2 linked regions of the Arabidopsis thaliana genome follow. The protein of the gene in region 1 interacts with the protein of each later gene in a pairwise test. Each region holds a gene or a part of one and is shown in the gene's direction. Other genes may lie near its edges. The genes, in order: PIN4 and FYPP3.

Region 1 (6,286 bases):
TATGATGAAGTAGACTTTTTCCGGAAGGCTTATGAGAAAAAAATACTATTCTTGTTTTGTAAACATATGTGTTCAATAAAGAATCTATTTTCATTTGCAATCATTCGGATTAATTAAAGTGATTGCTGGATGAATGTTTTGAATCTCTTTTTACCATTTCGCTACAAAAATAAAAAAATTGCGAATTTCGCATCCAGATATATACTAGTATTAAGCATGGGAGATTATTCACTCCTCGAACACATCCTATGACTATGAGTTACACAAATCAAAATTTTTACATTCCAACGTTGATGATCCTTTGGATTTGGTATTTTTCCATGTCATACTATTGTAACTTTGTTTGTAATTTCTTTCTGGTCAATATTACTCTATTGTGGATGCAAGATCGCATAACTAGTCCTCCATCGAATCAAACATGATCACAATTTTAAGAATCAAACTGGACTTTTATATACCGAAATAAAGTTACAAAGATTTCGCTGAGATGTTCTTACTTCTTAGAGCTAGATGAGTAAGTAATATTAGGGATTTTCTAGTGTACAATTGATGCCTCTATACATTACTCTCCATCAGATTTATAGGACTTGACCTCGTCTGCTTCTCTGATATTTCCCAGAAATCTCGCTCCTTTTAGTTTCTGCTTGAATCTATCAAATCCTAGTGATTTTGCGACCACCTACTTCTTTATTCTTTCCTTTTTGTTGGTTATGTCCAAACTGATTTAAGAGTATCCACATTGGTTATTTTTATGAGTGTTTTTAGATGGCTATTTTTAAATATAAAAGAGTAAAACAAATAAAAAATATGAGGGTCATTAAAATGAAAATTATATCTTCCTAAAACATTTAAGACATCTATACCTTTAATATTATTTTATATGAAATACATCTATGAAAAATTATTCGATGAGGATGGTCTAATGAGTCGGAGAGTCTCAGACCAACATCTATCTATAACTATTTTTTTTTTCACTGGAAATATAGATTTCATTGATAGAAGATCTGAGTACAAGAGCTGACAAGAGAAACACTCTTCTAAAAGCCGGAGAGTACATGGGACCTTCCAGGAACTAAAAACATATTTAAATGAAACAAAGGGGAAAAAAACCGATCTAACAAATTACATCACATCTGATCAAGTACTTCCCAGACCCAAAATCCAAGAGTTCAAACGAAATATACAAAGTCTAAAACAACAATGATAAACTGATAGATCTGAGACTAGAAGCCTCACTTAACTCAACCTAAACACGAATGGGCGATGAGATAAAACCATCATCCAGAGACCCAAAGGAGTGAGAGCCTCATGAAGGAGAGAACGAGATCGGGATCTTCAGGTGGAATTTCAGAAGTCTGAGGCGAAAATTTGGATAGAAACGCTTCTGCCTTGGATGGATCGGCCAGATCTGACTCTGTTCTTGAAAAAGACAAAAGACAAACAGCAAAAACCTAAAAAGAAAAAGTTTTAGACTTTAAATATCTAGATCTGAAAATTCAGATTCACAACCGTTGGAAAAAAATCTCTCAGATGTGTCTAAAGAAAAAAGATAGAATAAGAGCAAAACAAAAGACTTCGGTTCCGGTGCTGAGAAAGCCACCGGAACCGGTAACCCTAAACGCAGGCGGCGGCTGAAGTTTTAGAGATAAGGGAGAGTAAAATTTTAAGAGTGAGAAAATGACGAGATGTGAGCTTGTAAATACTTTTTGTAATATAAGTAACTATAAGTAATATTTTTTTTGTAATACCTCAAATTTTATTTTTAATGATATTTACAAGTTTAACAAAACAAAAACAAAAAACAAAATATTATTCTAGTCATAGCAAGTGAGAATTTTTGAAAAGGGAATAAATGTGTGTAATTAATTCAACGGTCCAACAGTGGCTTGGACCTAACACTAATGACATTTGTTCTTCTTGTAATTTTTATGTGGCTGTCTTCTTGTACCAAGTACGTAGACAATAGTTTGATTCTATTTGGAATCAAAACTCAAATTACATTTACAAGAAAAACGATCACAGATACAGTAATTCGTAGTATTCGCCAAAGTTCCTTTTGCAACTTTCAAAAAGTGCAAAAACAAGACCACTTTTTCGTAATAAGATAGTAGCAAAAAAGCACGACTATTCCATAAAACTGTCCACGTCCCTCCAGAAAACTCCCCCCACATGCGATTTGCCACGTGTCCCCACTCAACTACACACAAAGCCATTTTAAATCAAATTATTAATCAAACTTAAAAAACGTAATCGTGTGCTGATGATGATGATGACACTGTCACTGCCTCAAAAACCTCTATAAATTAGTCCTCTTCACCGAATCCTTGTAAATCATTACTGTACTTTTCTCTCTTAACGGTTTCTTTATTATTCTTCCCATTCTACCCCTCTTCTTCCTTCTAATTCCCCCTCAAATGCCACTGTCTTCTCACTAAACTCCAAAACCCACCGGAAAAAATGATTACGTGGCACGACTTGTACACCGTCCTCACCGCCGTGGTACCACTTTACGTAGCTATGATTCTCGCCTACGGATCCGTACAGTGGTGGAAGATATTCTCACCAGACCAGTGCTCCGGCATCAACCGCTTCGTCGCTATCTTCGCCGTCCCTCTCCTCTCCTTCCACTTCATCTCCACCAACGATCCTTACGCCATGAATTTCCGCTTCGTCGCCGCCGACACGCTTCAAAAAATCATCATGCTCGTCTTACTTGCTCTATGGGCTAACCTAACCAAGAACGGTAGCTTGGAGTGGATGATCACAATCTTCTCTCTCAGCACTCTCCCAAACACTCTTGTCATGGGGATCCCTCTGTTGATCGCCATGTACGGAACCTACGCAGGTTCTCTAATGGTCCAAGTCGTTGTTCTTCAGTGTATCATTTGGTACACTCTCCTTCTCTTCCTCTTCGAGTACCGTGGCGCTAAGCTTCTTATTATGGAGCAGTTCCCGGAGACTGGTGCGTCTATTGTTTCGTTTAAAGTTGAATCCGACGTCGTTTCTCTCGACGGTCATGATTTTCTTGAGACGGATGCTGAGATAGGAAACGACGGGAAGCTTCATGTTACCGTGAGGAAATCAAACGCATCGAGACGGTCACTGATGATGACTCCACGGCCTTCGAATCTTACCGGAGCTGAGATCTATAGTCTTAGTTCGACTCCGAGAGGTTCTAACTTTAACCATTCTGATTTTTACTCTGTTATGGGGTTTCCCGGCGGGAGGCTTTCGAATTTTGGTCCGGCGGATTTGTACTCCGTTCAATCTTCTCGTGGTCCGACTCCACGGCCTTCGAACTTCGAAGAGAACAACGCCGTTAAATATGGATTTTACAATAACACTAACAGTTCTGTTCCGGCGGCCGGTTCGTACCCGGCTCCGAACCCGGAGTTTTCAACCGGTACGGGTGTTTCAACTAAACCGAATAAAATTCCTAAAGAAAACCAACAGCAACTGCAAGAGAAAGATAGCAAAGCGAGCCATGACGCTAAGGAGCTTCACATGTTTGTTTGGAGCTCAAGCGCTTCTCCGGTCTCCGACGTGTTTGGCGGAGGTGCAGGCGACAACGTGGCAACGGAACAATCTGAACAAGGTGCTAAGGAGATTCGGATGGTTGTCTCTGATCAACCTCGAAAGAGTAATGCTAGAGGTTCTTTTTTTTTTTTTTTTTTGTCATCAAATATTATTTAGCTAAAATTGCGGAAAATTGTTTACATAAATAATATGCTAGAGGTTTGTTGGTTTAATTTTATTATTATTCGAATACTATTATTTTTGTATGTATTCATGATTTTTGGTTTTCTCAGGTGGTGGTGATGATATCGGCGGTCTTGATAGTGGAGAGGGAGAAAGAGAGATAGAGAAAGCTACAGCAGGGCTGAATAAAATGGGGTCTAATTCCACGGCGGAGCTAGAGGCGGCTGGTGGAGATGGCGGCGGCAACAACGGAACACATATGCCGCCGACAAGTGTGATGACACGACTGATATTGATAATGGTGTGGAGAAAGCTGATCAGAAACCCAAACACGTACTCCAGTCTAATCGGTCTCATATGGGCTCTTGTTGCTTACCGGTCAGTGAGTCCAATCATTTTCTTACTTACAGATTTTATGGATAAATGTTATAATAAGAAAAGGAAATAATATAATCATCTATGCATGGAATAATTGTAGTGGGAACTAATAATGAGTATGGGTTGTTTTTGGAAGCAGGTGGCATGTGGCTATGCCCAAAATATTACAACAATCCATCTCCATACTCTCAGATGCTGGTCTTGGAATGGCTATGTTCAGCTTAGGTAAACACTAACCTTGCTTCATGCAAATCTAGACTTGTTTTGATGATGATCTAATCTTTAAAGTTGGGTTCAAATTTGTTCTCATCTTATCTGTTAAAAAAGATTCATTTAATGCAAAGTGGGTCTGTGTGTTTAATTAGTCGTAGTTGTCCAGCTTGTAATTGGTAAAAGTCATATAAACTGTACAAAGCACTTACCCAAAGAGAGAATCCTGACCCTCTGACCCAGACATGTTGGTGTGTCCGGTCCCCACGCCGAGTCCCCACTGGCTCTGTCTACTTATTTGGGTCTCACCAAGTAGATGACCTAACTCTTTGCTGTCAATTTTCTCAAATCCTTTTAGTTAATGAATTGCTTATTTTTGGTGTAATTTTAAGGTTTATTCATGGCACTTCAACCCAAAATCATTGCTTGTGGGAACTCTGTCGCCACGTTTGCCATGGCGGTCAGATTTATAACCGGTCCGGCCATCATGGCTGTTGCTGGGATTGCCATTGGCTTACACGGCGACCTTCTCCGTATAGCCATCGTTCAGGTATACAAATTTATAACGTTACATGATATAGCTAGGTCTATTATAAATATTACATGATCACGATGATGATGTTGATGAATGCATGAATTATTAGGCTGCGTTGCCTCAAGGAATAGTTCCGTTTGTGTTTGCAAAAGAGTACAATGTGCATCCCACGATTCTAAGCACTGGGTAAGTTCCAAACTTATTTTATGTTACAGCCACATTTTTATTTTTGTTACAAACTTACAATATATTAACAAATGTGTGAATGATGGTGAAAAATATGGATGCAGGGTCATATTTGGAATGTTAATAGCCTTACCTATAACTCTGGTCTACTATATTCTTCTTGGCCTTTGAATTGGTCCCTTCAGTATCAACTGGCTTTTGAGAGAGCCTCGGAGATTGGGCTATTTATTTCTCGGTAACGAGGAAATAAGCAAAGCCTTTATTTTTCGTGGGAAAGAGTGGAAGGTGAAGAAGAAGATATGCCTTTGGTTTTTGGTTCCAATATTTGTGGAACACAACAAAAGTACTTAGGATTTAGTGAACAAGACTTGAATGGATTAAGGATCTTGTCTTCATTAGACGCCAAGAAGAAAAAATCTCTCTTCCTTACCTTTATTTTTTCATTTTCTGTTTTTGTTAATTTATGTGTAGATTTTGGCTAAGCAGATATGTAATATGCACCTTTTTTTATTAATTGAAGTTTCTAGTTAAGTGGTTTATACTGAAACTAGCTTATGAGTTGGATTGAAATAGTCCTATACTATATATATACACCCTCGTACTGATTTATTTTTTCCACAAATACCATTAATATTAATTCATCGGGAAGAGATTCTCCGCTAGAGAGAGCCATTCATGAACCATTATGCTTACATAGGAGAAAATATTATTTCTACCCCGAGCTTTTTTAGCTAAACAATCAGTTCGAGTGTTAAAACTACGAGAAAAAAATCTAATACGGAAAGAAAGGAAAAAACAAACTAAGGAGCGATAGGATGCCAATTCCGCTGCGAATGTCGGTCAATCGTCTTGATTGTCAATGATAGAAATCAGGTCTGAACAGTCAGAAGCAAAAGTTTCAAAAGACAGTAATTTTATTTTATTACAGTTAATTTAAGCATATTCCTTGATAACAAACACTGTTTTACGACAGAAGCAAAATCCTAATCTCTAATTAATTAATCCTATGATCATACGATGCATGTTTACGGTCCCGTTTTTTTAAGAATACACGATCTCTAGCAGAAAAAAATCTCAAAAAGTTTATGTTAACTTCAAATTCTGTGAACTTCCGCACATGAATCTAAAGACCACCCTTTATAGAAAAAATGGTCCCGAGACTATCAAACGTAGTCTTTATAATGTCAAAGTAGTGTGAATCTCATTTTTCAAACATTTTTAATGTTATGAATTGATCATCTGATTTTCGTATTAGGATTGGTCATTCAAATACGGTAT
Region 2 (6,008 bases), on another chromosome or scaffold:
GTTCAGGAAGAAAGGTCCTTGTGGGTTTCTCAAGTCTCGGCCTCCAAGCTTGCAGATTTATCTTTTGTGTCGAGGATTTGTGTTCCTGTACCAAATGTTGATCTCCTAGCTTCTAATCCTAGCTGTAGTCTCGCTACTTCTGTTACTTCTCTGTCCGCTCTTCGTAGTGTTTATCAGTCTGCAGAGTTGGCTAAAGCATCGAAACCGGTTGCATTCACAATCGGTGCCTCACTTGTGGTTCCTGATATTTCCTACAGATGGCATTTACCTGAGCCTAGTGCAGTCGATATGTCTGGTTCTTCGAGTTGTGTGTCTGAAAAGAATAGAACTGTTGTGGTTTTGCTTGGATGGCTTGGATCAAAGCAGAAGCATCTGAAGAAATATGCTGATTGGTACACTTCAAAGGGTTACCATGTCATTACATTTACTCTTCCGATGAATGAGATTATGAGTTATCAAGTTGGAGGGAAAGCAGAGAAGAACATCGAGTCGCTGGTTAATCACTTGGCTGATTGGTTGGATGAAGAGCAAAAGAAAAATCTCGTCTTTCACACCTTCAGCAACACCGGGTGGTTAACGTGAGTTTAATATCTCTGTTTTTTTCATGTGCTTACATAGTTACATGGCGGTTTTACATTTTACTAAGCGAGTTTCTCATCTATGCAGATATGGAGCCATTTTGGAAAAGTTTCAGAAGCAAGATTCATCATTGATGGGAAGAGTTAAAGGTTGCATAGTGGACTCAGCTCCTGTTGCTGCTGCAGATCCTACGGTAAGCGATGATTCTTGCATTCATAGCCATGTTTATATGGTCATTTGGCTTGTGCTAAATCATAGGCTTGGATACCTGATTTGCTAGACGCTGATGGGTGCTATTCTTTTTATAGATTTCTGCACTATTCGCTTGAACTTTCTGGATACTAATTTGGCTTTGTTAAAACAGGTATGGGCATCAGGTTTCTCAGCTGCGTTCTTGAAGAAAAGCAGTGTAGCCACTAAAGGATCTGCGAGCTCATCATATGAGTCAAACGGTATAAACATCTCCCAGCCTAAACCCGCTGCAACAGAAACAGCTTTGCTTTTGGTTCTTGAAAAGTTCTTTGCGGTGATTCTAAATCTTCCCAAAGTAAACAGGTAACATACAATAAAACTCCGCGTTTCGTCACTCATTCTTTTACCCAAATCCTATGATTTCACACTAACAAATGCGGGCAATCATATCTCTTCACTCATTCTTGTCACCCATATCCTATGATTTCACACTAACAAATGCGTGCAATCATATTTTTAACAGGAGACTTGCCGATGTTCTTGACACATTATCAACAGCACAACCAAGTTGTCCACAGTTATACATTTACAGCTCTGCAGACAGAGTTATACCGGTGGAACAAGTTGAATCATTCATTGTAGAGCAGAGGAAAGCAGGACATGAGGTCCGTGCTTGCAACTTCATATCTTCACCTCATGTAGACCATTTCCGGAGTAACCCAGAACTGTATACAGCTGAGCTCAACCATTTCATGAACAACTTTGTCCTTTCTTGCTGCCACCATTCTTCATAGCGACTTCCACAAGTGTTGTTGTTGCTAACCATTTTTGGGGTCCTTTTAACTCTTATACAAGAAAGAGAAAAATAGTTACTGATTGATGATTCTTTTTGGTTTGGATTGGTTTATAGATTCAAATTCATTATTCCTTTGTAAATTGTTGGATATTGTACATTTAGGAGAATGAAGATTCAAGAAAGTGACGTCCTTGTCCTTTGTAGTGGAGATTTGGATCTTATGGTTGTCTTTTGTTATTTGTTCAAAGAGGGTTGTTAAGAACCCAATCATAAAGTTTTTGGCAATTCTCATAATTTTTAGAAGTATGAGGGATCACAATCGTATTTCTTATGAGACGCTGGTTCGTCAACGATTGCGTTTTGACAAACGCAAAAGTTTGATTTGCGTTGGAAGCGGCAGAGATCGATCTGGGATCTTTTTTTCTTTTTGCCGTATGTGTCATTTTGTGAAACTCGAACCTCTCATTCTCTCTTTCATCTCCTCCTCTTACGTAACCCTAACGAAGTCGAAGATTCTCTGGTAGATCTATCTCGATTCGATTCGATTCCTCTTTTTTCCCAGAAAAGTCGCTATTGAAATCGAACGAAAGTGTTGAAGATTTTACCAGTCAGAGGTATATATATATAGAGAGAGAGTTATGGATTTGGATCAATGGATTTCCAAGGTTAAAGATGGTCAGCATCTCTCCGAAGACGAGCTTCAGCTTCTCTGCGAATACGTACGCCTTCTTCTTCTTCTTCTTCTTACTTGATTTCTTCTCTTGGTCGATTAAGCTTCTTGTGCTCTTCTCTGCTTGGTTTGATCTGTATTTATATACCTTAGTGGAACGTGACTTCGATCTGGTCTGTAGTGATTTTAGGATTTTTCTTTCTTTTCAACTATGGAGGCATCAATTTTGTAGTTTAGATACCATTTTATGGTCTCCTTTCTCAGCGATTGATTTATAGATTTGCGAAGATGAATCATGGTGTTAACCAGAAGATGTTTATCATAATGTTATACAGGTGAAAGAGATTCTGATTGAGGAGTCAAACGTACAGCCTGTAAACAGTCCAGTCACCGTATGTGGTGATATCCATGGCCAGTTTCATGATCTTATGAAGCTTTTTCAGACCGGAGGTCATGTTCCCGACACCAATTACATTTTTATGGTACCGAGTTTTCTTTTGTGGTGTCTTGTATGACATATTGATATGAAATTATGAATACAATCATAATCTGGTGTGGGAAATTCGCAGGGGGACTTCGTGGATAGAGGTTACAACAGCCTTGAAGTCTTCACTATTCTTTTACTTCTTAAAGCTAGGTAAGGTGCTCATAAATGTTCTGGAGATTCCTGTTATCATTGAATCTTTGCCTTTAAGTTTTTTTTTGTTCGTGCTTAATACGAACTTATTGTTTATTAAGCAATTAATCTTGATAATTATTTATCTTTCTTTGGAAGAAATAGTCCCAGTAACGTATTGCATTCAAAATTAGTCCAAACGAGAATGATATTGTTTCTTTAGCATCTCATGTTTCTCTGTTCTTTGTATTCTAATATGTAGATATCCAGCCAATATTACACTTTTGCGCGGAAATCATGAAAGTAGGCAGCTAACGCAGGTATGTGTTATTCTGTTCCACTTATATCTATTATTCTGCTTTTCACGCTGTTCCTAGGAGGTAAGCAATGTTGATTATCTTCTCGTTGTTACAGCAGGGTTTTGAAAGTTCTGATTTTGTACTACATGTGGCAATGTCATGTCAGATGTAGACATCGATGTTAGCTAAGATGCATTTTATGTGAATCAAGTATTGGAAAGCTAATTTCAGAAGGTGCTTCATATAGTACCAGTCTCCTTTTTAGCATGTGTGTAATCCTTAGTGTTCTAGTTGATACATAGGTTTTTAAGGAAGAAAGTGTGGTGATAATTTTGTATTTGAATGCATTCCTGGCAAACCTTTACTAAGACTTAGTCTGCAATCATACCTCTTAAAGTGCAATTCAAATATGCATTTCGTGAATCTGCTGACTAGATGATCAAAATTATACATGGATTCTCGACATTGAACTCCTTTATAACACAGAACCATTTGATTTACTTTTTTAGGTGTATGGTTTCTATGACGAATGCCAGAGGAAGTATGGTAACGCTAATGCGTGGCGATATTGCACAGATGTTTTTGACTATCTTACCCTGTCAGCTATTATAGATGGCACAGTAAGTGATTTCTTAGCAACTTGGCATTGTTGATGAGAACACATATAGCTGTATGTTATACTAAAATAGTTTGCTTTGTCTAGGTTCTATGTGTTCACGGTGGCCTTTCCCCGGATGTCCGGACAATTGATCAGGTTAAACTCTGCTTTTATTGCTTGTGGCTTTCACCCGTCAATTATGCTTCTAGCTTGGCATGTTATTAAGGTCCTCCACTCACATAGATTTGCTGTGGGCTCTAGATAAGACTGATCGAGCGAAATTGCGAAATTCCTCATGAAGGGCCCTTTTGCGATCTTATGTGGAGTGATCCTGAAGATATTGAAACATGGGCGGTTAGTCCACGTGGAGCTGGTTGGCTTTTCGGATCCAGGGTTACCACTGAGGTATGTTTACTTTCTCAAAAGCTTGAATTGATACTGTAACTAAGAAATTAATTTCACATCTCTGATCTTTGGTTCTGGCTTCTTGTGCAGTTTAACCATATCAACAAGCTGGATCTAGTATGCCGCGCGCACCAACTTGTACAAGAAGGTCTTAAGTACATGTTCCAAGATAAAGGCCTTGTAACTGTGAGTGTCCTGCTTCTAATGAATTGATATTTTTTATTAGTGGGCGTTTTGAAACTCTGCTTAGTGATTGTTAATTTTGTTTTGTTTGTGAAGGTATGGTCTGCACCTAATTACTGTTACCGCTGTGGGAATGTCGCTTCTATATTGAGTTTCAATGACAACATGGTGAGCCTCTCTTAGTCTTTCCTAAATGAATACTCTAATCTTCTCTGTCAGCAAGAAGGGATTCTATTACTTCAGTGATTTTAATCATTTCTTTTAAGATTCTACTCTATCAAAATATGTACACTCTTGTTGATTTGCTATGTGCCTCTTTGAATTAATGGATCTAGGAAGATTATAGAAAGTAATTTAGAGAATTTAAATCAAGTAAGCCATGTGCAATGAGGTTTGAATATCTGTGTGAGCCATAGATTCTGTTTCTGCATTTGTAGTGGATTTTCATTGACCATAGATTCAAGCTGTCTGTGCTACTAGGATCCTCCTTCCTGCATGGGTTAGTGATGAAATCGATTGAAATGTTTGTATTACCAGGAAAGGGAAGTGAAGTTCTTCACAGAGACAGAAGAGAACAATCAAATGAGAGGGCCAAGGACTGGAGTTCCGTATTTCCTATGAAGAATCACACTTATTATATTTGCTGTGATGATGAAGCCATTGCTGCCATTGGCAATATGTTCAGTTCAATGTGGAAAAGGTTAATATATGATTATATATATTATCTACTGATGGGTTTCGCTTACTATCATTATTTTTGTCCTTTAGGTTACATTTCCCTTGTGAAAGTTACAAGTCAAACACTTTGGTAATAGTCTTAGTCATTTTGATTCTCTGCTCTCTTTTCTTTCCCCCAATCTTTCTTCTGTAATGTTATTTTTTTCATTGTTCACTTGTACTGTTTCCTCTGTTTTTGTTGTTGTTGTTGTGAAGATGACATTAATTCTAAAATAATCAAACATCGTTACAAATGGGACAGTATCGCAACAATAAATGAATACCTGTCGGTCTCGAGCTATTCAATCATTTCATTCGGCTTTTGGTGTGTTGCCTTTCAGATCTATGATACAGATTGTTGTCTCAAGTAATGGAGAGAGGGGTAGTCCTTACAATAAAAAAAAAAAGTTATTATATGCAGTCATGAATGTGGTAAAAAGAATTGCAATTTTTAGTTTGTAATTTTCAGTTAATTAATCTTCACTATATAACTACACTCCTATGAGTTGCTCAGTGAGTTGCATGCTTGTATGATTTAAAATTAATAGTAACTCTTTTTATTACAAAACAGTGAAACACTATGAGAAGTGGGGGAGTTCAGTTCTTGTTCTGTTTGCCGATGAACATCAATGTTGCTTGGTCATCTAATAGAGGGAAATCATAAAATATTAACCTGGTGGTCCTGGTCAATGGTTTTTTTAAAAGAGTCATTGTTTAAGTCTTTTTTTTTTTTTTTTAATGCTAATAAAAAGGTTTAATCCTCCATGCTGGAGAAGCGATCATCATCAACCGAAAGAGAGTAATAGAGACAAAATGGGTTCATCATCATCTCCATCCCCGAACGACGCCGTACTGGAATCAGCCCGACCTTTTCTCCGAGGAGAGCTTGAAAAGATCGACCCCAAACTCCCGTCGTTAATCGCCGTCCTCAAAAGCGTCGGTGCCGGCGAGTG

What was found.
Region 2: the proteins of PIN4 (region 1) and FYPP3 interact in a protein complementation assay, tested with the Arabidopsis thaliana proteins (one study listed by BioGRID).

The regions. Positions count from the first base shown.
Region 1 is NC_003071.7:179,371-185,656, reverse strand, and holds PIN4 (Auxin efflux carrier family protein), read left to right. Parts: upstream 1-1,892; 5' UTR 1,893-2,457; coding exon 2,458-3,652; intron 3,653-3,809; coding exon 3,810-4,077; intron 4,078-4,216; coding exon 4,217-4,302; coding exon of another isoform or gene 4,303-4,313; exon of another isoform or gene 4,314-4,679; coding exon 4,680-4,837; intron 4,838-4,931; coding exon 4,932-5,008; intron 5,009-5,112; coding exon 5,113-5,179; 3' UTR 5,180-5,624; downstream 5,625-6,286. UniProt on the Arabidopsis thaliana protein: Acts as a component of the auxin efflux carrier. Plays a role in generating a sink for auxin into columella cells. Maintains the endogenous auxin gradient, which is essential for correct root patterning.
Region 2 is NC_003074.8:6,959,803-6,965,810, forward strand, and holds FYPP3 (flower-specific, phytochrome-associated protein phosphatase 3), read left to right. Parts: upstream 1-1,933; 5' UTR 1,934-2,205; coding exon 2,206-2,286; intron 2,287-2,572; coding exon 2,573-2,719; intron 2,720-2,806; coding exon 2,807-2,874; intron 2,875-3,115; coding exon 3,116-3,173; intron 3,174-3,661; coding exon 3,662-3,772; intron 3,773-3,855; coding exon 3,856-3,906; intron 3,907-4,011; coding exon 4,012-4,155; intron 4,156-4,245; coding exon 4,246-4,341; intron 4,342-4,434; coding exon 4,435-4,506; intron 4,507-4,875; coding exon 4,876-4,959; 3' UTR 4,960-5,404; downstream 5,405-6,008. Other genes in the region: AT3G19970 (alpha/beta-Hydrolases superfamily protein), read left to right, coding at 1-578, 667-772, 944-1,134, 1,295-1,565; AT3G19990 (E3 ubiquitin-protein ligase), read left to right, coding at 5,794-6,008. UniProt on the Arabidopsis thaliana protein: Catalytic subunit of protein phosphatase 6 (PP6). Dephosphorylates phosphorylated phytochromes, with a preference toward Pfr forms.